Linked DNA regions of Arabidopsis thaliana. The main gene of each other region encodes a partner of the protein of the gene in region 4 in a complex. Each region holds a gene or a part of one and is shown on either strand. Other genes may lie near its edges. The genes, in order: VIP4, ELF7, VIP3 and VIP5.

What was found.
Region 1: VIP5 (region 4) and VIP4 share a complex: the UniProt entries of both Arabidopsis thaliana proteins name them as parts of the nuclear PAF1 complex.
Region 2: VIP5 (region 4) and ELF7 share a complex: the UniProt entries of both Arabidopsis thaliana proteins name them as parts of the nuclear PAF1 complex.
Region 3: VIP5 (region 4) and VIP3 share a complex: the UniProt entries of both Arabidopsis thaliana proteins name them as parts of the nuclear PAF1 complex.

What each region holds. Positions count from the first base shown.
Region 1 is NC_003076.8:24,601,809-24,610,579, reverse strand, and holds VIP4 (leo1-like family protein), read left to right. Parts: upstream 1-2,854; 5' UTR 2,855-3,051; coding exon 3,052-3,168; intron 3,169-3,431; coding exon 3,432-3,763; intron 3,764-3,932; coding exon 3,933-4,062; intron 4,063-4,185; coding exon 4,186-4,386; intron 4,387-4,708; coding exon 4,709-4,885; intron 4,886-5,251; coding exon 5,252-5,383; intron 5,384-5,583; coding exon 5,584-5,763; intron 5,764-5,852; coding exon 5,853-5,981; intron 5,982-6,070; coding exon 6,071-6,160; intron 6,161-6,253; coding exon 6,254-6,505; intron 6,506-6,596; coding exon 6,597-6,734; 3' UTR 6,735-6,946; downstream 6,947-8,771. Other genes in the region: AACT1 (anthocyanin 5-aromatic acyltransferase 1), read right to left, coding at 441-1,799; AT5G61140 (U5 small nuclear ribonucleoprotein helicase), read right to left, coding at 7,269-7,352, 7,455-7,586, 7,672-7,821, 7,918-8,088, 8,178-8,345. UniProt on the Arabidopsis thaliana protein: Component of the PAF1 complex (PAF1C) which is involved in histone modifications such as methylation on histone H3 'Lys-4' (H3K4me3). Involved in regulation of flowering time. Required for the expression of the flowering repressor and MADS box gene FLC.
Region 2 is NC_003070.9:29,998,947-30,007,309, reverse strand, and holds ELF7 (hydroxyproline-rich glycoprotein family protein), read left to right. Parts: upstream 1-3,226; 5' UTR 3,227-3,340; coding exon 3,341-3,936; intron 3,937-4,014; coding exon 4,015-4,083; intron 4,084-4,163; coding exon 4,164-4,271; intron 4,272-4,355; coding exon 4,356-4,536; intron 4,537-4,625; coding exon 4,626-4,702; intron 4,703-4,785; coding exon 4,786-4,905; intron 4,906-5,334; coding exon 5,335-5,440; intron 5,441-5,672; coding exon 5,673-5,759; intron 5,760-5,864; coding exon 5,865-5,933; intron 5,934-6,021; coding exon 6,022-6,090; intron 6,091-6,182; coding exon 6,183-6,326; intron 6,327-6,423; coding exon 6,424-6,567; 3' UTR 6,568-6,772; downstream 6,773-8,363. Other genes in the region: AT1G79740 (hAT transposon superfamily), read left to right, coding at 595-595, 683-2,236, 2,543-2,943; AT1G79720 (Eukaryotic aspartyl protease family protein), read left to right, coding at 8,359-8,363. UniProt on the Arabidopsis thaliana protein: Component of the PAF1 complex (PAF1C) which is involved in histone modifications such as methylation on histone H3 'Lys-4' (H3K4me3). Involved in regulation of flowering time.
Region 3 is NC_003075.7:14,594,069-14,600,526, forward strand, and holds VIP3 (Transducin/WD40 repeat-like superfamily protein), read left to right. Parts: upstream 1-3,490; 5' UTR 3,491-3,659; coding exon 3,660-3,998; exon of another isoform or gene 3,999-4,155; intron 4,156-4,462; coding exon 4,463-5,089; 3' UTR 5,090-5,232; downstream 5,233-6,458. Other genes in the region: MKK2 (MAP kinase kinase 2), read right to left, coding at 1-55, 140-364, 507-641, 897-1,008, 1,097-1,173; homolog of CFIM-25, read right to left, coding at 1,979-2,050, 2,184-2,294, 2,395-2,481, 2,570-2,643, 2,734-2,827, 2,928-2,973, 3,065-3,249; MTO2 (Pyridoxal-5'-phosphate-dependent enzyme family protein), read right to left, coding at 5,366-6,458. UniProt on the Arabidopsis thaliana protein: Component of the PAF1 complex (PAF1C) which is involved in histone modifications such as methylation on histone H3 'Lys-4' (H3K4me3). Involved in regulation of flowering time. Required for the expression of the flowering repressor and MADS box gene FLC.
Region 4 is NC_003070.9:22,478,948-22,486,560, forward strand, and holds VIP5 (plus-3 domain-containing protein), read left to right. Parts: upstream 1-4,156; 5' UTR 4,157-4,407; exon of another isoform or gene 4,408-4,690; intron 4,691-4,817; 5' UTR 4,818-4,869; coding exon 4,870-6,801; 3' UTR 6,802-7,022; downstream 7,023-7,613. Other genes in the region: AT1G61030 (WAPL (Wings apart-like protein regulation of heterochromatin) protein), read left to right, coding at 1-76, 290-402, 767-895, 997-1,090, 1,183-1,859, 2,035-2,282, 2,449-2,596, 2,686-2,783 and 2 more. UniProt on the Arabidopsis thaliana protein: Component of the PAF1 complex (PAF1C) which is involved in histone modifications such as methylation on histone H3 'Lys-4' (H3K4me3). Involved in regulation of flowering time.

The DNA.
Region 1 (8,771 bases), on a different chromosome or scaffold from region 4:
AGAAGAATAATGAGATTGATTTACACAAAATATGGTAATTGAGTGGGGCAAAAATAGGATTTGAATTTCGAGTAAGGGGGTCAATTTAATATTTGAACCCAAATTATATACTAAATACCAAATAATTAAGCTATTAAATTTTTTTTTGTAAAAGTCATGGGGTCAAGTGACCCCCCTCCTGAAGCTGTACCTCCGCCACTGCGTATCACAGCTTTTTTTTTCTGAAATCAAAGTTTCGATTTTTCAAAGTAGGGGGAAATAGATTCACTGATCATGAAAAGTCTACTAATATTTCAAATATGGATGATTATTGTACCCCAAAAAATAGAATTCAAAAGACAGAATCAATACAAATTTGCGTAGTACATATAGGGCAATTATTGAACTAGAAATAAAAATACAAATAAGCAAAAGCTGGGATCGATTAAGACCGTACGTTTTCAGTTTCCAATCCATTTGTAAAATAAAGACAGAAAAGTATCCATCTCAAGTTTCTTCAAAGAGATGCCAATCTCGACGCCACCGATACCATCTCTCCTCTTGGACATAGAGAACTCATCGTTCTTGTAGATAGACATTGTCTCAGTGTGAATGGGTCTTCCCCACCCGAAGTCCGTTTCGTACATCCCAATCTGGTTCGACCCGTTTACGACCAACAACTGTGTACCCCATTTCATTGTCTTTGTTCCTTCCTCATACACTTTCCAAGTTGACTCTACCCCTTGTGAAGCCAAACGTTTGACCGAATCACTGAGAATCTCGACGGTGTTGACAAATCCATCTTCTCCCATAAACTCCTTAGCTTTGTATTTATAGAAATCCATGGCTAAGACACAAGTCCCGAAGTATGTCACAGGGACTGGTGGTTCTAACCGGTTCCTAAAATCAGCAGCGTACATGAAACGAACCGGTCGGTTTGGGTCACCACTACGTGCCTTCACCATGCATGTCCACACATGGGCGAACGTGACTACGAACGTTGACAAGTGAAGCTCAGCGCGTGTTGACTCTTTCTTGGCTCTCTCCTTGAGTTTCTCAATGTTTTCAGGACTTATCTCGATGGTGATTCGGAGGACGTTGTCTTTAGCGTTAATCTCTTTGACTGGAGGTAGCTTTAGGGTTCTTCCGTTCTCTTTGTCGTCCTCCGTAAGATACGGCAGAAGTTCGAGCATCTTTTGTTCAAGTCCGGCTGGAACATTGACGACAGAACGATCTAAAACCGTTGGTAGAATTTTCGGTATGGTGCCATGTTTACAAGTGTGAGCCCATGCTTTGTTAAATTTTTCAGCCGTTTTGCCGTCCAAGACGACATGGTGGGCTGTGGTTCCAATGCAGAAGCCTTGTTTCGGGAACAAAGTGACTTGCAGAGATACAACAGCCCCCGAGTCAGAATAAATCGGTAGCTCGGGTATTAGAGGGCGTAACTCTAGCTCTGGACGAAGCCCTCTGCCAGAGATACGTGAGAAATCCGCATCAGTCTCAGCCACTGTGAGAGAGAGTGTGTCTCCTGAGAGAACAACTAAATGCGGCTTTGGATCTTGTGAATCCCACTTAAGGTGACCCGTGAATAGGCGAAAGTGAGTGAGGATGAGTGAAAGAGATCGCTCGAGCTTGGGGAGGATGGAGGAGTAGAAAACGTCGCGAGATGATGATGATTCGGTGAGTTTGTAAAAGAAGACTTGCTCGGTAGGGTTGAGTTTAAGCCACTGTAAATCAAAGAACGAGAGTGGGACAATGAGCGGGTCGACGGAGGCGGTTGCAGGGCTGACTCGGGAGATCTTGATCACCTTTAACGCCATTTCTCACTTGTACTCTCGTCTTTTAGATAATATTCCTTTGTACGTATGAGTTTATTCAGCTGAGTATCAGATGGAGTTAACTCTTATACTAACATAACAAGCTACCGAGTCAGCCCTAGTCAAAAACGTTGGTTGGAAGCCAAGGCACGTAATTACCATTTGAATTATTTTGGTCCCTCCAGAGGCGGCCAGGCGGCTTAAGCCAACTGCGACTGCCAGATATCATAGATAAAAATTGTTATATATATATATATATATATATATATATAAAATATATAATTTTATTTTTGTGGTTTATATTTATTATTTTTGGTGGTAAAAACATTCTTAGAAGATAAATTTTTGTAGATAAAAGGCTGAAAAATAAATTTATGGAAAATATATAAATAAACATTTGTGAGCAAAATGTGTCTACATAAAATTGTAATTTTCTCGAGTTAAAAAAAAGCAAAAAGTGAAATTTCCAAAAGCCTTAAACTAGTTTGAGTAATTTAAAAGTGTCCATAGTTTTTTCTTTTTTCTTTTTATTCCATAATTTCTTGAGTTTTTCAGAAATTACTATAATTCTGTTTAAATTTTCAGGATTTCCTGAATATTCATGATGTTTAGTTGTCACTTAAGTTTTCATAGAACACAAGTCGGTTATGCTTTTACCTAATCTTTGTCTCTTGTTAATTTCTAAAGCAGATAAAATCTATAAACCAACAACAATGTTTTAGAAGAAGACATAACATTTATTTTGGCAACTCAAGTTATTTGATCAAAGAAGTTAATAATTAGTTTTTAAAATAAATTAAATATAAAAAAATAGGGGCCAAAAGAATCAGTTAAAAGGATGTTGTATCATTCATATACATAGGGGCCAAGGCAAACACAAGCTCACTATCACAAAGAAACTGGTATCCATAACCCAAAATTTGTGGGCCAAAAATATTGAATTCCAATCTCAAAAAAGCCCATAAAATCCCATCTTTTTTCCCTCTCTAGTCGTCGTTACACGTAAAAAAAATGATTTTTAATAATCCGGTAATGCGTTAAAAAAGATATATCGATGAAAATTTCCTTTTCTTTGTAAGTTGTAACAATTGTTTTTAATAATAATAATTCTGATGCCATAAAATCGCGAGGTAGAGATGAAAAAAAAATAGCTTCTTCAACAAAGGCCGATAACAGTGAACCCTTCGTCGGAGCTCAGATCACGAGCCGCCGTCACCAGCTAAGAGGCAGTGACTTTTGAGTAAGTGAGGCGAAGATGGTTAAAGGAGAAAAGAGATCCGAGATGATGCTTAATCTGTTCGGAGATAATTCCGAGGAAGAAGAGATCGAATCCGAACATGAATGCAATCGTCGTCAGCCTAACTACGCTTCCGTAACTCTCTCCATCTTTATCTCCTTCGTTTCGTCACTATTGATTGTTTCAGTTTTCGTATTTTTCACTGCCACTGTTCTTCAATTACACCTTGGAATACGAATGGTTTCTGGAGTTCTTCTCGCTTGAATTTAGGGTTTTAGGTTAATTGCAGGAACCAATGCAACTTATTAGGCCTAATTCAGCTTCAGTTCTTCTTAATATCAACTAGACTAAGATATCAGTGAAATTGTGGCTGAAATTTCCAATGTAAACACTGATAGGATGAGGCTGAGGGCGGGGTGGAGCCTGAAGGAGAAGGTGAAGCTGAGGTTGAAGTTCACGGAGAAGCTGAAGCTGAGTCTGACGGGGAACAGGGAGATGTAGAACTTGATCCTGGAGAAAGTGAGGGTGAGAGGGAGCAAAGTTCACAGGAGGCTGATCCACAAGAGGAAAGTGAAGCAAGAGATAGTGATAGTGATAACAAAGAAGAAGAACATGGGGGTAGAGTAGCCAAAAAGAGGAGACAGGAGGTTGTTGAGAGCGGATCAGAGAGGTCTGGTGAAAAGCATTATGAGTCTGAAGATGAAGAGGTTGATCAGACTAGGAGTCCAAGGTACCCCTTTTTCCATTCTTTTTTTTCCTAGCTGTTTCATAGCTTCTTTTTGATCTTTTCTGTGCTCTGGATTTAATAATACTTGCTAGTCCTCTGAGGTTCCTTGGATTTTCAAATTTCTTATGGATCACTTTGTCTTTTGTACATGGAAATATGGCGTGGTGGGTAGATCACCTAGTGAGGAGAAGGAAGAGGTTCAAGTTGCACAGTCAGACGTAAATATTCGTAATGTTTTCGGATCTTCGGATGATGAAGACGCAGAAGAATATGTTCGGAATGACGTTGAGCAGGATGAACATGTGAGTCTTGCATCTAATATTACATTTCAGTTTACAGAATATCTGTTTCCTTTCCAGTGTTTGCTTCCTTTTAGAAACCATATGAAATTGCATGTATGTATGATGAGATGTCTAATTTTGTAGAGATCGCCAATCGAAGATGAAGAGGGCTCTGAGAAGGATCTGAGACCCGATGATATGGTGCTTGATGATATAATCCCTGAAGAAGATCCTCAATACGAGTCAGAAGCTGAACATGTTGAAGCTAGGTACAGGGAGAGGCCAGTTGGTCCCCCTTTGGAAGTGGAGGTTCCTTTCCGCCCTCCTCCAGGTGACCCCGTTAAGGTATACCTGCTTTATGTTGCTAAAAGATTATTCGCTGACATGGCTTCAAATCAATAGTTTCCTTTCTGGTATTTCCAAGTTACCAAAATCTCTCATATCATTGTGGTTCGAAGAGTGAGTATCTGATGTCTTTTATGTGGAGAACCATTGCACTGAAACATGCTTCTACATTTACTTAGCATGAAGGGCCATTTGGTGTACATGAGCGTGCTATTCTGTTTTATATCTGAAACCCCATTTTCTAGTTGTCTATCTGTAGTGAAGATGTTCTGTAGCAAAATTGCGCTTCCTCATATACCGTTTTCTCTTTGATCTTTTTCAGATGAACATGATAAAAGTTTCCAATATCATGGGGATTGATCCAAAGCCTTTTGATGCCAAAACATTCGTTGAAGAAGACACATTCATGACAGATGAACCCGGAGCAAAGAATCGTATCCGTTTGGACAATAATATTGTTCGCCATAGGTTTGTTAAGAGTCGAGATGGCAAAACATATGTAAGTGAACACTTCTTCAAAGCTTTTCTGCTTTTAAATTTTCCATCAAACCTGCAATGAAGCTATGTAGTTTGCCTATTACTAGTACTTCTGATGCAATGATGTATTATAAGTACATACTTTTGATGCAATTTATGTATTCCGAATTAGTTTACTTTGTGCTTTTCACTACGGACATGTGTTCATATAGTTGGAGATGAAATTTTATGATATCTCTGTTCAACAGTTCTTCTTATTCTTTAGGCTTCATTAGAAATCTGCCCATAAACAAGAATTCTTGGTTTTGTTGCTTATTGCACACATTTCTTCTACTTTTTCCGTTACTTTTGCTGTAGTAAACTCAAGTCACTCTATATTCGTATGCAGAGTGAAAGTAATGCTCGGTTTGTAAGGTGGTCAGATGGAAGCTTACAGCTATTGATAGGAAACGAAGTTCTTAACATAACTGAACAAGATGCAAAAGAAGACCAGAATCACCTCTTTATCAAACATGAAAAGGTGTTACTTCGTCATTCCTTCTGCCTTAGTTAGCGATCAATTTGTAGTTGCTCCAGCCTCCTAGATACACTGATTCATTTTAGAGCACCCATACGATTCTCTATACTAAATGACAAAACTTCTCATTAGGAAACCAAATGTCTCCTGCATTCCAACTCTGCTATATCTCAAAGTGTTGTCTTATTTGGATGTTGGTGTAGGGTATCCTTCAATCACAAGGAAGAATTTTGAAGAAAATGAGATTTACCCCATCATCGCTGACGTCAAATTCCCATAGGCTCTTGACTGCCATTGTTGAATCGAGGCAGAAGAAGGCCTTCAAAGTTAAGAACTGTGTCACTGACATTGACCCTGAGAGGGAGAAGGAGAAGAGAGAAAAGGTTACCTCTTAATTGAGCTCAGACAATCCAACAATAGTTTTATTGCAGTGTTTGTAGACTTTTCTCATTTAATATCTCAAATTCTGAAGGCGGAAAGCCAAAACCTCAAGGCTAGTACAAAGCTGAGTCAGGCGAGGGAGAAAATCAAGCGCAAGTATCCACTTCCTGTTGAAAGGAGACAACTTTCCACTGGCTACTTGGAAGATGCTCTTGATGAGGTCTGTTTGATTAGTTTGTGTATATTGGGTTCTTCCATTTTCTAAAGCAAAGATTGCACTAGTAACGACTGATTGTTTCTTGGAACCAGGATGACGAGGATTACCGCTCAAACCGTGGCTATGAGGAAGATCTCGAAGCTGAAGCGCAACGGGAACGCCGGATTCTAAACGCCAAGAAGGTAAACAAAACAAAAACTCATATATCTCGGAATGCAAAAAAAGCATTAGAAATTGAACTAATATTCAACTGCTTCTCACTGGGGTAAAACCAGAGCCACAAAGGCATTCCGGGGAGGTCTTCAATGACTTCGGCCAGACCGTCAAGACGTCAAATGGAGTATTCTGAGAGTGAGAGAGAGGAATCAGAATATGAGACGGAAGAAGAAGAGGAAGAAAAGTCACCGGCCCGTGGAAGGGGCAAGGATTCAGAAGATGAATATGAGGAAGATGCAGAAGAAGATGAAGAGGAACGAGGAAAATCTAACAGATACTCAGATGAAGATGAAGAAGAGGAAGAGGTTGCGGTACGCAAATTAGAATGTTCTTCCATTTTTATTGTTGTCAATGAGGAAGTTCATTGAGATTGTAATGTGTGGTGAAATGTGGTTTATGCAGGGAGGTAGGGCAGAGAAGGATCACCGTGGAAGTGGCCGGAAAAGGAAAGGGATTGAGTCTGACGAGGAGGAGTCTCCGCCTAGAAAAGCTCCGACTCATCGTCGTAAGGCCGTGATTGATGACAGTGACGAAGATTAATCATGTTCGTCAAATCTTTCACTCTCCTTTCGTCCATTTGTTATAATGTAGTCTGGAATTAGACTCGTTTTAATCAAAATAAAGACAGAATCATGATTTTTTTAAATTCATGTAATAATGGATTTTATTTCCCTTCTGTAACTGTAATGAATAATTGGTAATTTGATATGGAGATAGTTCAAAATAACGTAAACTTGTTGACCCAAACAAATTTACCAAACAGACTGTCACAGAGTAAACACATTTAGTTTTAATCTCTTGATTAATTTATTATGTAGTCATGTAGCCCAATTTTTTTGTAACACTGTTCTACATAACGTTATGTAAAATTAACACATTTACCTTAAGCTCTTCATTATTTTTCTTATGTATCTCAAAAGATCTGTAACACTGTTTTATTACAAAACGTAAGGTAAAATTTGGTTTTACATTAAGAAGACGACAAAAAAAAACCAGAATTTTAAGAAAATTTTGACAATATATAAAACAAATTCCAAAAAAATATGGGGTTACTACAATCCATCATCTAATGGCTCATCCGCGTCGTGCAAGTTGTTCAATGGAGTGTTCTTGTTCAAACCCCAAATAACAATCCGAAACTAAGATGAGTTTCGTATCCTGGCCAAAAAAAAAAAAACCAATTCAGCAATAATAATATATACATAGAAGTGTAAGAAAGAATGATTTAGTTTGAGAAAATAAGTTGAAAATTGTTTGTACCTGAAAAGAGGTTATATTGGGAGGTAACTCCATGCGTGTGATCAGACGACCAGTGAACGAAACTCTCTTCACAGCAAAGAGCTCAGAAGTTGAAGTATCACCAAGAACCAACCACCACGCTTCGTCTTTCACCTATAACACAAAATAAACGTGTTGAATTCAATTTCATTTTTGTTTCGAGCTCAAACTAATCTGTGGTTAAGTCTTTAAGTGAAACCTTTGGGAATCGAGGGGCCAATGCCCTCGAGCTATTCCTCTTTGATGTCTTTTCCAATCTGATTTCCAGCGTTGAAGGCTTTTTCTTGCCATCGGAATCCTTCTTTTGGAGTCTCACATTCATTTGGATCCGTGGGAATCGTTGGAGATCCTAATTAAGATCGAAGAGTGCAGCAGAGAATAGTTGAGACTCCATGAGTGAAAGTATTAAATGCAAAAGAAATAGTTGTGACCAATTTGAGAGCACCTGAGATAATCTTGATGCAGGGAAGTTTTCGGTTACACTTTGTAGAGTTTCCCTTGGAAGATTTAATAGCTGATGTAGCGTGTGAATCCCTCTTGCGGTCAGAGATCCTAGAAGAAGGTCATTCATGCATGGGATCATCCATAATGACGAATCTTGATCAGACCACATGCCCTAGAATTAAAAAGAGAATTGGATTCCTCTTAATTTGCAAAAGTGAAATAATTTGAACAAGCTAAGAGTAGTAATCTTCAGGACACTACCTGCATGACCATTTGCAAAAGGCGCATACACGTCAGTGAGCTTGAGAGCCATCCACTGTTTGCGCAGATATCAATCATGGCCTGGAGGATCCGAATGCTTTGATCCAGTACTGACTTTAAATCCGTGTTATAATCACTGATTGGAAGTGCCAATTGAGAAAAATGTGCCTGGAGCAATGGATGTCATGCATTAAGAAGATGGTAACAATCATGAATTATATGATTAAGGCCCTGTTTGTTTCATCATTTATCATTTCCATTCAAATGATCCACTTACATGATTCATTTGAATGATACATTTGAATGATGTTTGTTTCGTTATTTGTAATTTAATATAAATGATGCATTTAAATGGATCTTTATTTGTTTGATCATTTTGTAGTTCATTCACATTTTCATTTAGATAAAAATAACTAAAATACCCATGTTTTCATTTTAACAAATGACAAATATTCAACATTATTACCCACTATCAATACCAAACATATTGGCGGGAAAATATGATTTTACGGTTTTGGCGGAAAAATACGATTTTACGGTTTTGGCGGGAAAATATGATTTTGCGGGAAAAATGATTTTGCAATTTTAGCAGGA
Region 2 (8,363 bases), 7.5 Mb from region 4:
AAATACTTCAAGTATGGTCATCGTATACTGCAAATCATCGATAGCTAAAACATTCTAGTGCGTGGTAATGATGAGCCAATATCTTGATTGTTGAGTGTAATCGTTTAGTGCAGTGAACCAAATTAAGGATGATAGTGAATTGAAAGTGGTGGAAACTAGTATCGATTTCATTGAAAATGTAATTAAGAGTGAAATGACGACGACAATTAGAGGAAGGAAGGGAAAGTAAAACTAGGACGACGACATAAGAAAGAAGGAGAGCAAAATATCGCGAAAAATTAACTTCTCAGAAGTGTTGGTTCCGGCGAGAAGAAGTGAATCTCTTTCTCTCTCGGTAAAGCAGCTTATCCCAATTACTCTTCTTTATCCCAAATTCTCTTTGATTTCTTGCTACTTGGTCTTCTCCGATTAGATCTTCGAATCTGTTTCTCTCCTCTCCGGGAACCGGTGGCTACGTCATGTGTCTTTCTCATATTCCGGCAATCCTCAAGAGGAAATCTAGAATCCTCCATACATTTCTTATTTCCTTACTAGGGTTTTGTGTGTGTTGGCAGGTGGAAGCTGACGAAGAACAACATCATATATCATTCACCAAGTAAGTAATGTAAAGTAAAGTAGCAGCTCTATTTATTTTCTTTCCTATGATTGAGATGAAAAATTCGATTGTTGTTGTGTGAGACAGTGGTACGAGAAAAAGATATCTGCTGGGAATACGCAGAGAAACTAGATGGTAACAAGGTTAAATGCAAGTTTTGCTCTAGAGTTCTTAATGGCGGCATTAGTAGATTGAAGCATCATCTCTCTCGCCTTCCCAGTAAAGGGGTTAATCCATGTGCCAAGGTTAGGGACGATGTTACTGATAGAGTTCGTTCCATTTTATCTGCCAAGGATGATCCCCCCATTACCAACAAGTACAAGCCTCCACCACCTTTATCTCCTCCGTTTGATGCTCCTGCGTCCAAACTAGTCTTTCCTAGTTCTCCTCCTAATGCGCAGGACATTGCAGAGAGGAGTATTTCTCTCTTCTTCTTTGAGAACAAGATTGACTTCGCTGTTGCCCGCTCACCCTCTTATCACCATATGCTCGACGCCGTTGCCAAGTGTGGTCCTGGATTTGTTGCTCCTTCTCCCAAGACTGAATGGCTGGACAGGGTTAAGTCAGATATTAGCTTACAACTGAAAGACACTGAAAAGGAGTGGGTCACCACCGGCTGTACTATCATCGCTGAGGCATGGACCGACAACAAATCACGAGCACTGATTAACTTCTCCGTCTCTTCACCTTCCAGAATCTTTTTTCACAAGTCTGTCGACGCCTCCTCATATTTCAAGAACTCAAAATGCCTTGCTGATCTCTTTGATTCTGTCATCCAAGATATTGGTCAGGAGCATATTGTGCAAATCATTATGGACAACAGCTTCTGCTACACTGGTATCTCAAACCATCTCTTGCAAAACTATGCAACCATTTTCGTCTCCCCCTGTGCATCTCAGTGTTTGAACATCATCTTAGAAGAATTCTCCAAGGTTGATTGGGTCAATCAATGTATATCGCAAGCGCAGGTCATATCTAAGTTTGTCTACAACAATAGCCCCGTGCTAGATTTATTGAGAAAGTTAACAGGCGGGCAAGATATTATCCGAAGCGGTGTCACAAGGTCTGTCTCCAATTTTCTATCATTACAGTCAATGATGAAACAAAAGGCAAGGCTAAAACACATGTTCAATTGCCCAGAGTATACCACAAATACTAACAAACCACAGAGCATTTCATGCGTGAATATCCTAGAGGATAATGATTTCTGGAGAGCTGTGGAAGAAAGTGTGGCTATTTCCGAGCCTATCCTGAAAGTGTTGAGGGAAGTTTCTACTGGAAAGCCCGCTGTAGGTTCTATATACGAGTTAATGTCCAAGGCCAAGGAGTCAATACGGACATACTACATCATGGATGAGAATAAGCATAAGGTCTTTTCTGACATAGTTGATACTAACTGGTGTGAGCATTTGCATTCACCTCTTCATGCAGCAGCAGCATTCTTGAACCCCAGTATTCAGTATAACCCAGAGATAAAGTTCCTCACTTCCTTGAAAGAAGATTTTTTCAAAGTGTTGGAGAAACTTCTTCCTACTAGCGATCTACGGCGTGATATTACAAATCAGATATTCACTTTCACTAGGGCAAAGGGAATGTTCGGCTGTAACCTGGCCATGGAGGCGAGGGATTCAGTTTCACCAGGTATGGACAATAAATACATTTATATTTTCTTTAAGTCATGACTAGTGAACAGAGATGTATAGGTAGTCTGAGTCGGGAGAAAAATAATCCACTTATCTATGACCGCAATTAAAGCTATGGTCTTATTACACAACTAAATAAGTCCAGGTTGATATAGCCTGGCACGTAGTAAACCGAATTGCAAAACTAGTAGATATCTTCCCCTCACCAGGCTATTAGGGGTATGGTCTGGGATCTTTAGAATTGGTAACGAAGCACTAGAAGACTAGAAGTTGATGTCTAATAATGGTTTGCTTAGTAATGCAGGTCTCTGGTGGGAGCAGTTTGGTGACTCAGCACCTGTTTTGCAGCGGGTGGCCATCAGAATACTAAGCCAAGTTTGCAGCGGTTACAACTTGGAACGCCAATGGAGCACATTCCAGCAGATGCACTGGGAAAGGCGAAACAAGATTGACAGAGAAATATTGAACAAGTTGGCGTACGTGAATCAGAATCTAAAGTTAGGGAGGATGATAACCTTGGAGACAGACCCAATTGCCCTGGAGGACATTGACATGATGTCGGAGTGGGTGGAAGAGGCAGAGAATCCCAGTCCTGCCCAGTGGCTTGACCGTTTTGGGACCGCCCTTGATGGAGGCGACTTGAACACCAGGCAGTTTGGCGGTGCTATTTTCAGTGCCAACGACCATAACATCTTCGGCTTGTGAAGTCCTGGTAAGAGGTTTTCATAAGTTGGTCCAGCGTGTTGAGTGTTTAACCACACACCTCGGTTCGCTATACTGTACATAATGTTTGAGTAATTATCAATGTAGAAAATAAATATTTTGTGTTCCTCACACAGTCACACGTCGATGAGCTTGGTGGTACAAAGCATGTTTCGTTCATATTTGGGATTCATAAAACGGTGAGCTTAAGATTGTTTTTGTTTGTATTGAAGCCGTAATTATCAGAACCCATATGATAGTAGCGGTTATTGGGCCGCTAGTGAGGCCCAAATTAAAGTAAAAAGGAAAAATCAGTCTGACCGGAGCTATATAATTAATATATATCAAGAAGACTCGTTTTAGTTGGTTTAGGTGATTCAGATCACAAAGTACACCGAGAATGGCGTCGTACCGGCCGCCGTATCCTCCTCTTCCTCAGCCACCATCTCAAAATTCTTTGGCCCCTCCGCCTCCCCCGCCGTCGTTACCCCCTCCTGTTCCTCCCCCACCACCGTCGCATCAACCGTACTCATATCCTCCGCCGCCGCCTCCTCCTCCGCATGCTTACTATCAGCAGGGGCCCCACTATCCTCAATTCAACCAGCTCCAAGCTCCTCCTCCTCCGCCACCTCCCTCAGCTCCTCCTCCGCTCGTTCCCGATCCTCCTCGACACCAGGGTCCCAATGACCACGAGAAAGGGGCCTCCAAGCAGGTTGGAAGGCGGGAGCGTGCTAAACCGGATCCATCGAAGCACCACCACAGGTCTCATCTTCCTCATTCTAAGAAAATCGAGACCGAAGAAGAGAGGAGGCTTAGGAAGAAGAGGGAGTTAGAGAAACAAAGGCAAGACGAAAAACATAGACAGCAGATGAAAAATTCTCACAAGTCTCAGATGCCCAAGGGACACACCGAGGAGAAGAAGCCGACGCCCCTACTCACCACCGACAGGGTCGAGAATAGGTTAAAGAAACCAACCACCTTCATCTGCAAGCTCAAGTCAGTATTCTTCAAACGACTACCTAAATCTTTTTTACATATTATTGTTAGACTCTGATATTCATCTTCTTCTTCAAGGTTCCGGAATGAGCTCCCTGACCCTAGTGCACAGCTTAAGCTTATGACCATTAAACGGGATAAAGATCAGTATGTTTCTCTATTATTGCCAAATTTTATTTCTGTGTTATTCTACTGTCCTTACTTGCCAGCTATTTTGATCCCACTAGATTTACAAAGTATACCATCACATCCCTGGAGAAATTATGGAAACCAAAAATCTTTGTCGAGCCTGATCTTGGAATACCCTTGGATCTGCTTGACCTAAGTGTGTACAAGTATGTGCTCTCAATAAAGTCTTAGTGTCTTTAATGCCAGCGACCTCATCTACTGGGGATACTTACTGTTGTAGCTCTTTTCAGCCCTCCCAAAGTCAAGGCACCTCTTGCCCCTGAAGATGAAGAACTCTTGCGTGATGATGACGCTGTTACACCTATTAAGAAAGATGGCATCCGGAGGAAAGAAAGACCTACTGATAAAGGCATGTCTTGGCTCGTCAAAACACAATACATTTCTTCTATTAATAACGAATCGGCAAGACAGGTATCTATCCATCTCGCTTGTTGGAAATTTGTTTTGCCATGTATAGCTTCTAGAGACAGTTTCCAATTTCCTATGTTTACCTTGTGTAGTCGCTAACGGAGAAGCAAGCAAAGGAACTGCGAGAGATGAAAGGAGGCATCAACATCTTGCACAATCTTAACAATAGGTGTGTTGTTTCTCAAATATGTGTATTTCTAAGGAAAGTGAGAAAAAAAAAGGTCTAATGGTTTATTTTTCTTTGGTCTCTAGAGAGAGACAAATCAAGGATATTGAAGCATCCTTTGAGGCATGCAAGTCTCGACCAGTTCATGCCACCAATAAAAACTTGCAGCCGGTTGAAGTTCTACCACTGTTGCCATATTTTGATAGGTTGGATGCTCTTTATTTCCCCTTGCAGACAATCTTAAATCTGAAATACCGAATCAGGCAAAATTTTCTCATAATAGTCCTACATGTAGACACAGCTTGAAAGCTGACACTTTACAGATTATCTTTATGTTGGCTCTCTCTGAAGGATCTCCTGTGGTCGGAAACATGCACGAATAGTTTTCCTATAGGATAGTGTAATCAATCGGGTGGGAAAATAGGCAGCCTTGTTAAGGTCTAACTATACAACACTTAAGAGAGATGTTGGGTCTTTAATTTTTCCCTTTTCTCTGCTCCAACTCTTGTTCAAATGTTTCTTTGCTAGGGTTTTAGTGTATTGCCTTTTGGATGAAACATCCACTAATAATTTTCACTGAACCTGTAGCATACTATGCTATTACATTTGACTCTCCCCTTCCTTTTTTGACACAGGTACGATGAGCAGTTTGTGGTAGCGAATTTTGATGGTGCTCCTATAGCTGATTCTGAATTCTTTGGCAAGTTGGACCCTTCAATTCGTGATGCACATGAGTCACGGGTGAGTTATGAGTTACCGATATCCATGAGTATGGTCCAATTATCTCTGGTCTCTATCATAGGGATACTTTGTTCCTGAGAGAAAAGATGACTGTATCAACTATATCGTTTTTGTTGCTTACATAAGTGTACTTGAATGAGGATAGGATATATGATATATGGGGCTGAATCTTAACTATGGTTGATTGCCTTATTTTCATATTGATGACGAGCTCTGACCTCATACTCCACAGGCCATTTTGAAAAGCTATGTGGTGGCTGGATCAGACACTGCCAATCCAGAAAAATTTCTGGCGTACATGGTTCCTTCCTTGGATGAGGTAGACATGCCTCTCCATAAACTGATCTCTCTTTTACACAAATTTTGACAAGTCAAGAAAAGTTCAGTTTGATTGATGTGTTATCAATTTATGTTGCTGTGCCAGTTGTCTAAGGATATCCATGATGAAAACGAAGAAATCTCTTACACTTGGGTTCGCGAATACCTCTGGGATGTATGTACTATAGCCAATGTGGTTTAAGTGAAATTTTGATTGTTTGAGTTGCAGATTGAAATAAATATGTCACCTGATGTTATAACAGGTACAACCCAATGCAAACGATCCTGGCACATACCTGGTATCATTTGACAATGGGACCGCTAGCTATCTGGTATTGCATCGGTTTTTGTTACATATTCCAGTTGTGTATCTTTTTTTTCTTCTGTCTATAATACTTTGGGATGACCGTTGAGAATTTGGCAGCCCCTACCCATGAGGTTGAACTTGAGGAAGAAAAGGGCCAGGGAAGGAAGATCTTCTGATGAGATTGAACACTTTCCAGTACCTTCAAGGGTAACTGTAAGGCGGAGATCAACTGTATCAGTGATAGAACATAAAGATTCAGGGGTATAGTAAATCCATACATTTAGCCTTTAAAAGAGTAACACGTGGAAAGTTCTAGTTCTCTTACCAATTCCTTTGGACTTTGGGGCTTTGGATGTAGGTTTACTCTTCTAGGGTTGGTGCTTCGAGCTCCAAGATGAGAAGATTAGAGGACGAAGGCGGCCTTGGTAGATCTTGGAAACACGAGCCGGAACAAGATGCCAATCAATATAGTGATGGTAATGAGGATGATTATTCTGAATGAACGTTTCGTGTACCTCAAACTATTGAATCGGTTTTGCAATGGTTTTCCTGCAAGGCTATTGTAGGCTAATTTAAAAGCGTAATATGGCCTCCACCACAGCTTTGTAGTTTGGCAAGTAAAGAAATTTTGATTTGGATAGCTGGCGAAGTTGAAAAACGATTTTACATGTACACGTCCATAATTAATGAATTGGCCATTTACGACTTTGATCCTATCTAATGTGGCAGCTCCGTTCATCTTCAGTGGCTATGTTCATGAGAACACATCCCTGAGAGAATTCCTTGTACAGAGAAGCCTTCTTAGATACTTACTTACACTGTCTTTCTACCAGAGCTGATTAGAATCTGTAATAATATTATACAGGTTCTACTACCAGTAATTAATTAGGATGGATTAGAGCAAATCTTGTACTGTAGTAGATCCCAGTGTTGCAATTGTGGTTATTTTACAGGTTCCCGAAAATATGACATTTTCAAAATTTCTTGTACAAATGAAATTATTATGGTCCACTATGTTTTCTTTTACGAAGGGCTTTTTCTATTAGGTGGGCCTATTATTATATGAAACTGGGTTTCCTCTTGTGTAGCCCAGTGGGCAGTATAAAAATCAGCCCAAAACATAACTGCGAAATTCAAATTCTTACCCACTCGCACAATTAGCGCGTCGACGCCACCTCCTCAAAATCTGTGGACCGTTTTTGGCTGTTTTTGGTAAAATTAAAAAATTGGGCGCGTGAGGGAGTTTTCTATTGAGGAAAAAAGCAACCGTTTTTGACTAAATAATGTAACGTTTTATTTGTGATTTGTTTGACTGGGAAGCTCTGCAATGTGAATATATTTTATTTACAACTTTCTTCTTTCGATATGTTTTTTACATTATTTTTAAACAAGTTTACATTCTTATTGTTTCATTTATTATTTATTTATTTAGTTATTTGCTTTTTATAAGTATCTTAATGTAGAGATTTTATAAAAATTTAAAATGTCAATTACTGAAATGACCAATCACATGTGGACTTCGAATATAGATTTAATATTTTCCTTTCCTAATAATATGGATAATAATATATATTTTAATAACAAAATTTTGCATTTTTCTTCTTTTCATATGATTTTTTTTTTCTTTTAAAATTACATTTTCTCTTTGTATGTCTATTAATTTTTTTCTCTTATAAATATCTTGATATGGAAATTTTATTAAGTTTTAAAATGTTAATTGCTAAAATCAGTTGTGTTGATTTGTGATTGGCTGAAAAAAAATATAAAAACAGAAAAAAAAAAAAAAGAGACAATGCCTTGTTTTTAGTTATGCTTAAATCTAATCATTATTCAAGCTATTGTTGATACATACAAATTTCCTTAATCACTGCTATCAATTTCAAACGTTTATAGATTTTAAAAAATCTGTATAATAACATCAAAGATTAAAATAAAATGGTGAGAATTTTAGCACTAGCGGCCAACACTTAACATCAGTAGCACCACCATCTCACGTTGAATTTTATTTTTGTAACAAAAGAAAATTAACATATACTAAAAAAACAACCAAAAGACATTGCAAGTTTTTAGTAATTTGGTAACAAAATTGCAGTAATTCACGTGAATCCCCAATAATTTGATCTCATGCACACATAGTGGGGTCCAATCTTTTTTGTTCATTTGCCACTTCTCGCCAGCCTCTCCTCTTTTGTTCTCTTCACTACCTCCAAACTTCCCAAGAATCTCTCTTTCTCTCCTCTCTTCTCTCTCGCCTCTTCTTTAATTTCCTCTGAAGAGAATCCTCCTTACGAAAATGTT
Region 3 (6,458 bases), on a different chromosome or scaffold from region 4:
AGTCACGATGGATGATATGCCTATCGTGATGAAGATAGATTAATCCTTGAAGCACCTGCAATAACAGAACCAATAAATCACATCAATCAACCAATTAACAGTGAAGCGTATAGTTTCCTGTGTATCCTGTGTTTCTTACTTGTCTAAAGATGGCAGAAAGATAGGAGTCAGGGATGGCTTTAACTGACTTGAGAAAGTCTGCTAGAGATCCTCCGTCCATGTACTCCAAGATTAGTGAGATTGCGCCATTGTCATAAAATGACTGGTACGAGGTAACAAGATTTGGACACTGTGACGATTGATTTATTTTGAGCTCTTGTGCAATTGCCTTGCGAATTGCTTCATCAATATTTAGTTGAATGACCTAATCATATAGCATCAGAGTTATGCACAGTGAGTGACAAGGCAAGGAAGAAAAAGATTTGTAAATCTTCAAACACAGAGAAAAGATGAGGAATTTAGCTCATCATATACATAAAAGAATCTGAAGGTTAACCAATGAGTACCTTCAAGGCGAAAAATTGGCCAGTCCATTTGTGTTGAACCAGCTGAACAACACCACTACTTCCTTTGCCAATGACTTTAACCATATCCAAATCCGACAAGCTCAGCTGATCATCAGCTGGCTTAATTGGAGACAGCTGAAACACAGTCGCAAACGAAACAGATTACAAACAGTAATCTAGAAGATATGAGCTTAATCCCTGAGTTTCTCTATCCAGAACTACAGAAATGATCTTAAGAAGGTTCTAATTATGATCAGATCCACCAACCACATTACAGTTAATGCATTCAAACTCAACAAAATCTTCATATGCAGTACAAATAAACAATCAAACCTAACACTCGCGAAATTCAGTAAAATCAGCACCGAACGAGGAAGAGGAAAGACTTACGACTTCAGGCTCCAATTGAGAAATGATTCGAACTCCATCCTTGTTAACACGTAGATCTCCATCCTTAAACGTACCGCTTTGAGTCCTACAGAGAGAACCAAAACCTTTCCTCCTTCAAAAACAAAACCAGAGACATTTCCACACACAAATACATCTATCTATCCACAGATCCATGGAGAAAGAGAGATCGAGAAACATACAGGAATTTGGTGATGGATTGCTCGCCAGCAACAGGAATTGCGAGCTTGAGATTATTGCTGAATCCACCTTTCTTCATCGTCTTCGTCTACTTCGTTCTTCGCTTCTTCCTTTTTGTTGTTTCCTCGTCATTATATATTAAGTAAAACACAGTTTTAAGCATAATTCATGTACTTTTCAGCCAGAAATTGGAATTTGGAAATAAAACAGCCATTAATTAATATTAGTCAAGCACATGTTCACGACGTTGACCAACGACTTAGAGACTTTCCCATTTACTACTTCTTTTTCCCGGTTTTCTTTGACCGAAAAGTTTTAATCCACATTTTAACCGGAAACAAACCGGTTAATTCAGTGATTCTTCGTTCTTTAGCTTTTGGTTTTTAAACACTCCCAAAATCACCACTACAACAAAACGCTAACGCAGAATGCCAAACTAACGTTTGATATTTATAGAAAGTTTTCAATATTTCAAATATTGTTTGATCAAATACAATAAACACATATAACAAACAGTAAAATCTTTACTTATGTTTCTCGGTTTCATGTTTGAAGATAACAAGGTTTTCTTCAACAAGGAATATACAAATAAGCATACACCCCTATATTTGTTTTACTCATGTATACATTCAATTACACATCGAAATTATCACACAAAGAAAAATTGTTTCGAATTGATTAATCTATCTATCAGTATACTTCATGTCTAGTCTCTATAACCAACAAGAACATGCTATTCTTCAACATTGTCTATATATTATAAGCCCTATATACATTATATAGTCACAGACTCAGAGAGGCTCCACAAACGATTTCCCCAAACATAATCCTATCACAAATTGCGGGGGGCAAGAGCTACTAGAGGCAATGATCATGAGGTTCGTTCATATCTCCATCATGTTGAAGGAGAATTTCGAAAGAAGCTTAGGAATTTGCGACATGATCGGCCCATAAGTCTGCAACGCATAAATGAAACATCACAACACATAATTAAATACAGCTTGATTGACTGACCCTGTTAGTTTTACCAGGAACATCGATTAAAAGTTCACGATGAGTTAAGGGCAATGCAAGTAAGATAGTACATACCTTTTCATTTTCATGGAGTTGACACAATGGAACAGCGAGGAGTTTGAAGTTCTTAGGCACAACAAACTGTTGATGTACCGGTAATCTCACAAGAAAAAGCTTTGTGCATTCCTACACAAAAGATGAGGATAGAGCAGAGCTTTTAGTATAAGCGCAAATCTTCAAAAGTCTCAACTTTTTCTTACAATGAAAGTGAAACTAACTAACCAACCTTTGGGTGTTTAATATTAGGTGGCAAGAAAGGATACATCAATGTCTCAAAGTTGGGTCTCCACCACATCCCAATACATTCTCCTACCTACAACAATGTTGTAATTAGAGAGACCATTCTTAAGCCAGAAACAATCAGATACAAAAGCACTTTAACAAGAAGCCATAGTTCCTACCTCATAACCCGAAACACCCACATTTTCGTTAACCGATAGCTTTGATGCTAGTTTCCGTTTTAGACCTTCAATATCTAGAAGATTAAGGAGAAACATGACTTTAGCGTTTAGAATTGAGACAGCGATATTTATGCATAAAGATGCAAGGAAACAGCATACTAAACCTGATTCTCCAGGTCTCAAACGACCACCAGGAAGCTTGAAAATGGAGTTTCTATATTGAAGAAGCAAAACATGAGGATGCTTGAACAACTCAACCTGATGTGTCCCAACATTAGATTTTAATCAATCCTTTCAAACCAATTTTCCCTGTAAAACTTTTCAAAATCCCTAATTTGGCTACCAACTATAAAATTACCAGAAGAACAGCTTCAACGCAAGTTCTCAATCCATGAGCAGCATAACTTCAAAAGAAACAAAAAAGAAACTTTAGCTATAGATTAAAACAATAAGAAAAAAACCAGATGATCTAAATCACATCAAAACTCGATTTACTTGGATTTCAATCTGATGACTCGATCAGAGATAATCTCGTCCTTGACGCGAAGAGCTTCTTTTGAACCGAAGTAGTAGCTGCTAAGCGGGTATAAATCAACCATCAAGTCATGAACGACATCGTTTCGTCTCGTCGTGTTGTCACTGATCTCCTCCATATCTAACGCTCGAGCTTCTTCACCCATTTTCTGCCCGTAAAATTCAAAGACGAGAGCTAAAAGCGATCTCAATCGATTAAAATTAAATAACAGAGAGACCACGAGAGCAGAGAAGACGCAAGAAGAAGAGTGAAGAAAGGTGTCGTAGTCGGATCACTGAGACGTGGCGGCTCCAGAGAGTACTTCTCCGCAATTAGCTGACGACGGCGGGAGAGTGAGGAAGAAGATATTAATGGGCCTGTTACGATATTAATGGGCCTTTAGTAGTAAACAAGAATACGGAACGATGTTAAACACTCTATTGTTTCCAACTACTAAAAACGACGCGAGTTTCTATTTTATAACTAAAAAACGAGAATCAAAGTCTCTGTTTCAAATTTGGGTCTTTTGCTTCTTCTTGCTCACTTGAGGAAACACAGTAAAAACCTAAAAAGAGAATGAAACTCGCAGGTCTGAAATCGATCGAGAACGCTCACGAAGATTCCGTTTGGGCAGCGACGTGGGTTCCGGCGACGGAAGATCGACCGGCGTTGCTTCTGACTGGATCTCTTGACGAGACGGTGAAGTTATGGCGACCGGACGAGCTGGATCTTGTGCGGACTAATACTGGACACTCTTTGGGAGTAGCAGCTTTGGCTGCGCATCCTTCTGGGATTATTGCAGCATCTTCTTCGATTGATAGCTTTGTCCGTGTGTTTGATGTTGATACTAATGCTACGATTGCTGTTTTGGAAGCTCCTCCTTCTGAGGTTTGGGGAATGCAATTTGAACCTAAGGTAATTGACTCAATGAGATTGCCTCCAATTTTAGGGTTTTGAAGGATTTTGGGTTGTTTTGTGGTGAAAGAATTCGATTGCTTCATTGAATTTCACTTCTTAGTTGCGAGTAATGCTTCTCCTGATCTATATAACAATGCTTGGGTACTATATGGAATTGCTGAGTATCGTTTGAATCTGTAGCTCTGATCAGATAGGGTCATCTACTCTGCTCGGAAAATAGATCTAGATCATCTTCTGATTTTTCATTGAGTCTTATATAGTAGATTAAGAACAATTTATTGGTGCTTTGATGATAAATCTTGATTTGGTATGATAGAATTTTGACCTGGTGACTATCAAGTATCAGTGCAATGATCTCTCTTTTAGTTTGCAGTGGAGTTTTTATTTGCTTCTGAGCTTATAATTTCAACATTACTCTTTAGAATGGTGCTCTGCTAACATAGTATTTTACATGTTCCAAGGGTACGATCCTTGCTGTTGCAGGTGGAAGTAGTGCCTCAGTCAAGCTTTGGGACACTGCAAGCTGGAGATTAATCTCAACTCTATCAATCCCACGCCCAGATGCACCAAAACCTTCCGATAAAACCAGCAGCAAGAAATTCGTTCTCTCGGTGGCTTGGTCTCCTAATGGGAAACGACTTGCTTGTGGTTCAATGGATGGTACGATCTGTGTTTTTGATGTTGACCGCTCAAAGCTACTTCACCAGCTAGAAGGTCACAATATGCCTGTAAGGTCCCTTGTGTTCTCCCCTGTAGACCCGAGAGTCCTCTTCTCTGGATCAGATGATGGGCATGTGAACATGCACGATGCAGAAGGGAAAACGCTGTTGGGGTCCATGTCAGGGCACACGAGTTGGGTGCTGAGCGTTGATGCTAGCCCAGACGGTGGAGCCATAGCAACCGGCTCAAGCGATAGAACTGTGAGGCTATGGGATCTTAAAATGAGAGCTGCGATTCAGACAATGAGCAACCACAATGACCAGGTTTGGTCTGTGGCCTTTAGACCACCAGGTGGAACCGGTGTCCGGGCTGGTCGACTTGCTAGTGTCTCTGATGACAAGAGTGTATCGCTCTATGATTACTCATGAACAATTCGGTTTTTTGACTTTTTTCTTTTATGCATTCTCCAAGACGCATCTAGTTGTAACAATATAATCTGCAACAGGTTGATTTTGACCGGAGTCTTTAGATTTATCGCTTACACAAAAAACAAAGAAGATAAAATGATTCAAACTTTGCGATAGAACTTTATTGGAAAACTGAGAAACAGATAAAGATCACAGAGAGATGAGTTGAAGAGTAACGCAAACAAACGTCTAAAAGTTTTCAAAAAACAAAACAGCTAAAGATTATGGTCTTGTCTCTTATGACGTAAGTGTATTACTTCCTAAGTAACTCTTGAGAACATCCATGACAGCTCCGAAATCTGCTTTCACATCAACAGGAGGATTGGAGAATCTGCAAGCCATGTCAGGGATGGCATTGGAGTGATAATCTATCTTAGACTGAGTAAACTTCAACCCATGAGCAGTACTCACTACCACAGTTCGATCAGTCGGTGCAATCACTCCTTGATTCCTCAGCTTGAACAGAGCAGTTAGAGCAACACCTGTATGAGGACAGATAAACATTCCTGTCGAATCCGCTTGAGCCATCGCATCCATCAGCTCCTCCTCTGTGGCTTCTTCTACAATACCATTGCACTTCTTGAGAGCGTACACAGCTCTATCGATGGAGACAGGGTCACCGATCTGAATCGCAGAGGCGAAAGTGGTACTTGCAGTCATGGGCTTGAAGTCCTTCCAACCAGACTTGTAGTGCAAGTAAAGAGGATTAGCATTAGCTGCTTGTGCACAGACCATCCTCGGGATCCTATCGACAAGTCCCAGTTCTTGACACATCTTAAACCCTTTGTAAAAGGCATAGATGTTTCCTAGGTTACCTCCAGGAACAATCACCCAATCAGGAACTTGCCAATCAAACTGCTGCAAAATCTCAATAGCTGCAGTTTTCTGCCCTTCTAACCTCAAACTATTCAACGAATTCGCCAAATAAATCGGCAATTCCGCAGTTATCTCTCTAATCAGCTTCATACACCCATCAAAATCAGTGTCAATACTCAAAACAAACGCACCATTAGCTATCGGCTGAACCAGCTGAGCCATAGAGATCTTGTTCGCCGGTAAAAACACAATCGATGGGATTCCAGCGGAGGCGCAGTAAGCAGATAGAGCAGCAGAAGTATCTCCGGTGGAAGCACATCCGACACCAACCACAGGTCGTTTCATCTTTCTCAGACGATTAACTTGACTAACCAAAACAGTCATTCCAAGATCCTTGAAACTTCCTGTATGACTAATCCCACAGTGTTTCACCCACAGATCATTCATACCTAGAAACTGCTTACCAAATCTCTCTGCCCAGAACAGATTCGAGTTTCCTTCAAAAGCTGAAACG
Region 4 (7,613 bases):
AGGCCTGAGCTAAGTACGAAATGGGTAGCTTTGTTGGTGATGGAGAAGGCGTGCTTGTCCAAAATCTCTTTTGATGGTACTTTAACTTCCTGTCTGTTTTGCTGGAACAATGACTAGCTAACTATTTAAGACGCATCTGGTATATTATATTGAGTTATAGAATTGGAAAGTTATGTTATCTGCTTCAGTGAATCAGTTTAACAAATGTGTCAGCGGTAATAGAATCCTACGACCAGATTATAATTGATTTATAAATTTCTAATTATTGATATTATCATTCCCCATCCAGATACCTCTGGTACTGTGAAAAAATCTGGAGGAATGTTCAAGGAGAAACTGAGAGAACTTGGAGGACTTGATGCTGTCTTTGATGTTGTTATGGATTGCCACACTGTAATGGAGGTGTGAACCTGTATGTTATAGGGATCTTGCTATATATGTCTTTATTTGGCTAGGACGTCAATAACTTGTGTAAAGTGTCGTAGATTGGTAGCTTTATAATTGTTTGCTATCTTCAGGTTCATGTTTTATTTCAATCTAATTTATTGCTGAAAATCGTTGCAAGTCAAGGTTCTTTTCTTGTCCTTGGGCAAGAGAATTCTCTTGTTTGTGTAACACAGTTTAATGTTATTGTGACTGCGTTTGTTGTGGACAAGTTGGATGTCTGTCTTAGTGGTGGCAAAGACTCTGTACTTAAGTTGTCAATAGTTACTGGACCTTTGCAACTGTATTTAATAAGAGTCTCTATTGCATATTTTGTTTGCAGAGCTGGGTGACTCATGACACACTCTCTGTCGAGGATATAAAAGATGACTTGAATAAGCAGAGTCTGATGTTACTTCTGAAATGTCTAAAAATCATGGAGAATGCTACATTCCTCAGCACAGAAAACCAGGTAACTTTTATTTATTTTGGATTCCCAGCCTCATGATAGCTTGTATTGAATAGCTCTGCAGTTTGCACCTAAAAAATAACTGTACATAATATATCTTTCAGATTCATTTGCTCAGACTTAATAAAAGCATGGGTTCTCATGAATCCCGACTGTCTTTCACAGAGCTCATGATAAGTGTCATCAAAATACTTTCAGGTACCCATTCCTATATTTGGATTTTACCACCATGACTTGCTTCGTATGTTATCATCTCTTATGCTGATGGCTGGTTGGAATGATTACACCAGGTCTTCAGTTACGTGCTCACAGGAACGAAAAGCATCCTCACCCTCAGCCACATCTAGCTTCTGCTGTTAAGAAGGGCTTTGTGACAATTATTAGTTCAGATACTTGCTCTACCACTGGCTTTAGCTCCATAAAAAGTTTGAGCGTATCCAAGAGAAATCAGTCTGCATTCCTGGTAGGTTGCTCAACGACACCAAAGCCGGGGTCTCAATCAAGTGTAATGTCGACAATTGATCACTGCACGCTGACGACTACAGCTGGTTCCAACACTGGGTCGTTTGCAGGCAGATTAGCCTCATTGGGTAGTGGCATTTCCAGAAGTAAAACAAGGACTAGCCAAACTAGAGAATCCAGTTGTAAAAAAGTTGAAAACTTTGCATCCTTCGAGGATAGTCAAGATCCTTTTTCATTTGATTTAGAAGATTCAGGACCTTCCAGATGGGCAGTAGGAAAGCAAAAGAAATCTAAAGGTCAAAAGAGGAAGGGAAGCTACAGAGATAAGAAAGATGAACGCTCGCTTCAGCTCTTCTCGAGCCAGGAGGAATCAAACCATGGTTTAAATTCTCAGGAGGAATCAAGTGATAGAGATCACCATGTAACAGAGCAACCTTCTTTAACATATGACATTGATAAAGGATGTCTCTGTCTTTTATCTGATTGCCTTTTAACAGCCGTGAAGGTAATGTACAGTCTTTTTAACAATTACTTTTCTGTTATGTAACAAATTTCTGCAGCTGGAATGAAAATATGTTTGGACCAGAATGGAATGTCACCTTTTATGCTAATCTGTTTAGATATGTGAGGATATCATGTGATCTTTTGCTACGTTCTGATTCTGTTGAACATATTTTCAGGTATTAATGAACCTAACAAATGGTAATTCTGTTGGTTGTCGGGAAGTTGCTGCCTGCGGAGGACTGGAGAGCATGGCTGAATTAGTTGTTGGACACTTTCCTTCCTTCACCAGATCTCCGCTTTACAGTCAGATGGAGTCCGGGACATGCCACCAGAAAGATAAACATCTCACAGACCAGGAATTAGATTTTCTTGTTGCCATCCTGGGGCTACTGGTAAACTTGGTGGAGAAAAACGGAATAAACAGGTACCAAACTGCTCTTTTCGATTTACATCTTTATGTCAACTCAGGAAAACATAGTCACTGATTGTCTTTTATGCAAATGGGGGGAACTCGTGATTTCATAATATTATGATCTGACTCGTACCCATGTCTTGAAAAATATTCGCTAATCAGTTATTATTTGGTCCAGGTCAAGGCTCGCGGCAGCTAGTGTTCCGATTACCAATCCAGAAGGGTTACAAGATAGTGAACAAGACATGATCCCTCTTTTATGTTCAATCTTTCTCACCAATAAAGGATCCGCAGACACCAAAGATGAAACGAGTACTTTCACTTTGGTTGGTATCTAATCATTGTTTTCTTGTCGAATTTAAATAGCCCTTAGTAGAAAGTATGTCTTAAAACCTGCTCCTTCCTCATGTTTCAGGACGATGAAGAAGCTGTTTTAGAAAGCGAAAAGGAAGCGGAAAAGATGATCGTGGAGGCATATTCTGCCCTTCTACTTGCATTTCTATCCACAGAAAGGTTATTTATCTATATCTTCCTTACTACCTTTTTAAGTATTCTAATTCTCAAAAAGTTGTAACATAATCTCTTATTCTTAGCAGTAGAAGTATACGAAATGCCATCAGAGATTATCTCCCAAAACGCGACATGGCAATTCTGGTACCCGTGTTGGATAGATTTGTGGTACGTTCCTCTAAACCCTTCATATTTCAGTCTTAGTAGTCGATGTGGTATGCGCACTGAAACCTTTTGATGCGACCATGTACTTGTTCTTACTGTGTTAGGCGTTTCATACAACACTGGACATGATTCCTCCAGAAACACATAAAGTGGTTATGGAAGTTATCGAGTCGTGCAAATTGCCATAGAACGGAGGGAAAAAAACAGGCGACATCTTCGTTCTCCTCTCACTGTACAGCTTCTGCCACACTTTGGGTTTGCTCCACACTTATAGTTAGTGGTCTCACACAATGGAACATGTTACACGTATAATATGGACACAAATAGAGTATCTTTTAGTTCTTTCTTTTGAGGTTTTGTTTTTTTGGTTCAGCTTAGTTTAGTAATTCACATCCCCCATTCTTTTGTACTTTTGTCATACAAAGAAAGAACAAACAGATATATAGAAATAGATTGCTTAATGAGAGTTAATCATATCGTATCTTAGTATATCGTTTATTTGTGTGCTCAAAATCACATTTTCTTTGTTATTCATAATCATCAATATTGGAATTACGAGGCTTAATGAAACTATGAAAGAGTCATAATTTTCTAGCCTAAAGAAAAAAATTCTTTTTTTTTTCTGACTCATTTTCCTCTAGTATAAGAAAATATCTTTGTTTTTGAAAAAATATATTAATCAATACTCACATGATTAATTCCAATTTATGATTGAGAACGAATTAGTGATAAACTAAGATAAGTGATAATTTATAGTTTTGCAATAGGAAAAGTGTAATTAAAATCAACATTTTTAACAAGTTGAGGATTTTAGTGATATTTTAAACGACGAAACGAAATAAATATCAAACTTATGTCGAGTTTTCAAATAAATACCAATTTTGTTGACTTTCCAAATAAATACTAAACTTTCGTTGACCTAGTCATATTAGACATGCCGTTAAGTGGGATAACACATCCTGTTACAATTAAACGACGTCGCTTTGTTTTTATAAAAAGCAATAACGTTTGAATTAACGGGTATGTTAATAGAAATTTAATTTTGTTAACGGGATCTGATAATTTACTTAACATCATGCTTAACATGACCATATTAACAAAAATTTGGTATTTATTTGGAAAGACAACATAAATCTGATTTTTGTTTAGAAAATCAACGTAAAATTAATATTTGTTTCGTTTTGTTAGAAGTTGAGGATTTAAATGAATGCTTTCAATAAGTGGGGAATTTTAGTGACATTTTTCCCGTTTTGCAATATTTACATTGAAGGGGTTTTTCATTAAATATATAGTTTTTCCCTTGTTCAGCTCTTCTTCTTAAAAAATAAAAAGACTTCAGCATCTGCTTCCTCTCGACAATTTCGACATTACTCTTTCGTTTTTCACCCCTTCCTTCTTCTCCTTTAGCCGCCCGTCGTCGATCTCTGCAACACTTTCCGACGATTTCTCCGTCTGATCTCAAGTGAGTCTCCTTCAACTTTTCTCTTCTTTTCTATACCCTTCCCTCTCTCTATTTCCTTTTCTCCGCCACAAACGGCTTCTGCGTTCCCTGTTTCCGCCGTCCTTACCTCTTCCAATCAAATTGAAGATCCATACCAGAAATCGATCCTTCTCCGTCTCCGAATTCGCTTGATTAACCTCAGAAACTCGTATTGGTTTTCGCAAAACCGCGATTTGGCTTTAGACTTCACCGTTACCTGATTGGGTGAAAAGTTTTCCTTAACCCTATTAATGGCTTATCTAGGGTTAGAATCCAAAGGATTGTTTTGCTCTTGTAGTTAGCTATCTACTGGTTTTTTGTGGTATACACCGTACTTGACCAATGTGGTGAGGTCTTTTGCTTCTCTAACTGTATACTTCTCATAATTTCAGGTGACAGTGAAAACCATTTAAATTCGTTACTTGTGAGCCTCCTTAGAAGATTATGGGTGATTTAGAGAACTTGCTTTTGGAAGCTGCTGGGAGAACAAATTCAGCAGGGAGGAGTCGTCATCCTCCATCATCGAGGAGACGTGAGGGTTCTTACTCTGATGGTAGTAGCGATTCAAGGGATGATTCTGATGAAGATCGTGGCTATGCTAGTAGAAAACCCTCTGGGTCTCAAGTTCCTTTGAAGAAGAGATTGGAGGCAGAGAGAGAAGATCGAGCTGCTCGAGTTGAAGGTGGTTATGGTGATGGACCATCTGATCGTGAAGGTGACAGCAGCGAGGAGTCTGATTTTGGAGATGACCTTTACAAGAATGAGGAAGACAGGCAGAAGCTTGCTGGAATGACTGAGTTTCAGAGAGAGATGATTCTCTCTGAACGTGCTGATAAGAAAGGTGATAAGAACTTCACTGAGAAACTTAGGTCCAAGAGAGAAAGTGAGAAAACCCCTGTTTCTAAAAAGGAGACTCAGCCTCTTCCGGCCTCTCGTGGTGTGCGTTCATCTGCTAGATCTGCAGACAGAGCCGCTGCTAAGGATGATGCCCTGAATGAATTGAGGGCGAAGCGTATGAAGCAGCAGGACCCAGCAGCTCTCAGGAAACTGAGAGATGCATCAAAAGGTGGTTCAGGTAGTCGAGATTTCTCATCAACGAAGAGGAAACCGTTAGCTTCCTCCAATTTGAGTAGTTCCAGCCAAAGTGACAGTGATAGTAGGTCTCAGAGTGATGATGAAGGCTCGAATGGAGGAATGCTAGACAGTGATGATGACAGGTCAGATGTGCCTACGTTTGAGGATGTTAAGGAAGTTACCATTAGACGGTCTAAGCTTGCCAAATGGCTAATGGAGCCTTTCTTTGAAGAGCTTATAGTTGGGTGCTTTGTGAGGGTTGGGATCGGAAGGTCAAAGAGTGGTCCAATTTACAGACTCTGCTGGGTGAAGAATGTTGATGCAACCGATCCTGACAAGACCTACAAGCTAGAGAATAAAACTACACACAAGTACCTTAACGTCGTCTGGGGAAATGAAACCTCGGCGGCTCGATGGCAAATGGCTATGATCTCAGATGGTCATCCGCTGGAGGAAGAGTATAGGCAATGGATCAGAGAGGTTGAGCGAACAAATGGTCGCATGCCCACAAAGCAAGATATATCGGAGAAGAAAGAAGCGATACAAAGAACAAACAGTTTTGTTTACTCTGCGGAAACTGTTAAACAGATGCTGCAGGAGAAAAAATCTGCGTCAGTCAGGCCAATGAATGTTGCGGCCGAGAAAGATCGGCTTAGAAAAGAATTGGAAATTGCGCAGAGCAAAAACGATGAAGCAGGTGTAGAGAGGATCAAGTCGAAAATCAAACAGCTCGACGCTTCACGGAACAAGAAAGGGGTAGATAAAAAAGCGCTTAAACTTGCTGAGATGAACAAGAAGAACAGAGCCGAGAATTTCAAGAACGCATCTGAGGTAAAATCAATAACTGCTAGTCTCAAAGCCGGTGAAGCAGGGTATGATCCGTTTTCAAGAAGATGGACCCGATCATCAAACTACTACAACGGGAAAAACAAGGGGAAAGATGGAGAAGAGAACGAGGCAGCGGTTGCAGCAGCGGTTGAGACCAATGGAGCAGATGCAGGAGCAGGTGTTGAAGCGACAGAAGCAGCTTTAGAAGCAGCTGCAGAGGCAGGAAAGCTAATAGACACAAGAGCTCCAATAGGTCAAGGAGCAGAACACAATCAGCTTCATAACTTTGAATTGTCGTTATCGCTAACGGCTTTACAGAAGTACGGAGGACCTCAAGGAGTACAGAAAGCGTTCATGGCGAGGAAGCAACTGACCGAAGCAACTGTGGGATGCAGAGTCGCAGAGAACGATGGCAAGAGACATGGCCTTACGTTAACTGTTAGTGATTACAAGAGAAGGAGAGGTCTTCTCTGATTTATTTGCATTTTTTTCAAGTCTCAGTGTTTCATTATCTTCTGAAAACTGCTTCTTGGTTCTTCTTTTCTTCATATCTTTCTTTTGTACTCCACAAAATATGTTTAGATCAGTTTGTTTTTTCTTGAAATATTTTTGTACTCGTTTTTGTGTGAACTCTCCTGATTAGTGTATGACTGCATGAAATTAGAAAATCAAGTCTTTTGCAGTTTTGCTACTCTTAATTAGATGAATTTAGTTATGAGCTAATTAACAGTTCAATATTAGTTTGGTTTTGTAGAAGTTAGTGATTATGCAATCATCATGCTCGTGTATGGATCGTGGACGATAAAAACAAATTACTCGTAACACAATTGAAAGAGAAGTGTTGACTTATCAATAAAATCCAATATCTGTCATTATAATGCAAATATATTTTATAAGAATAAAATCTTTTTTATATTAATAATTTATTATACAAAAAAATATACCATTGAGTTTTAAAATACATTTCAACCACCAACCTTATTATTGCATATGGTGAGTCAATAATTAGTGTTTCAATTGCTCAAGAAACCGATTAAAGTCATGGTTATGCTTGGAAACTATCTCTTGCATGTGTTTCCAAGTAATGAATCATATAAGGTGAATAATATTTTTCTAATTGGTCTGGTCTGATTGTTTCTAGTGAGTTTCTTCCATGGATAACCATGATTGGTCCTAATTGACATTTTTAGCTATTTACCTTATTAAACTAACTAAAAACCTAAAATAATACTTTTATTAATTCTAGTAATTTGATACATCAAAACTAGAACTCTACCACACTCTTC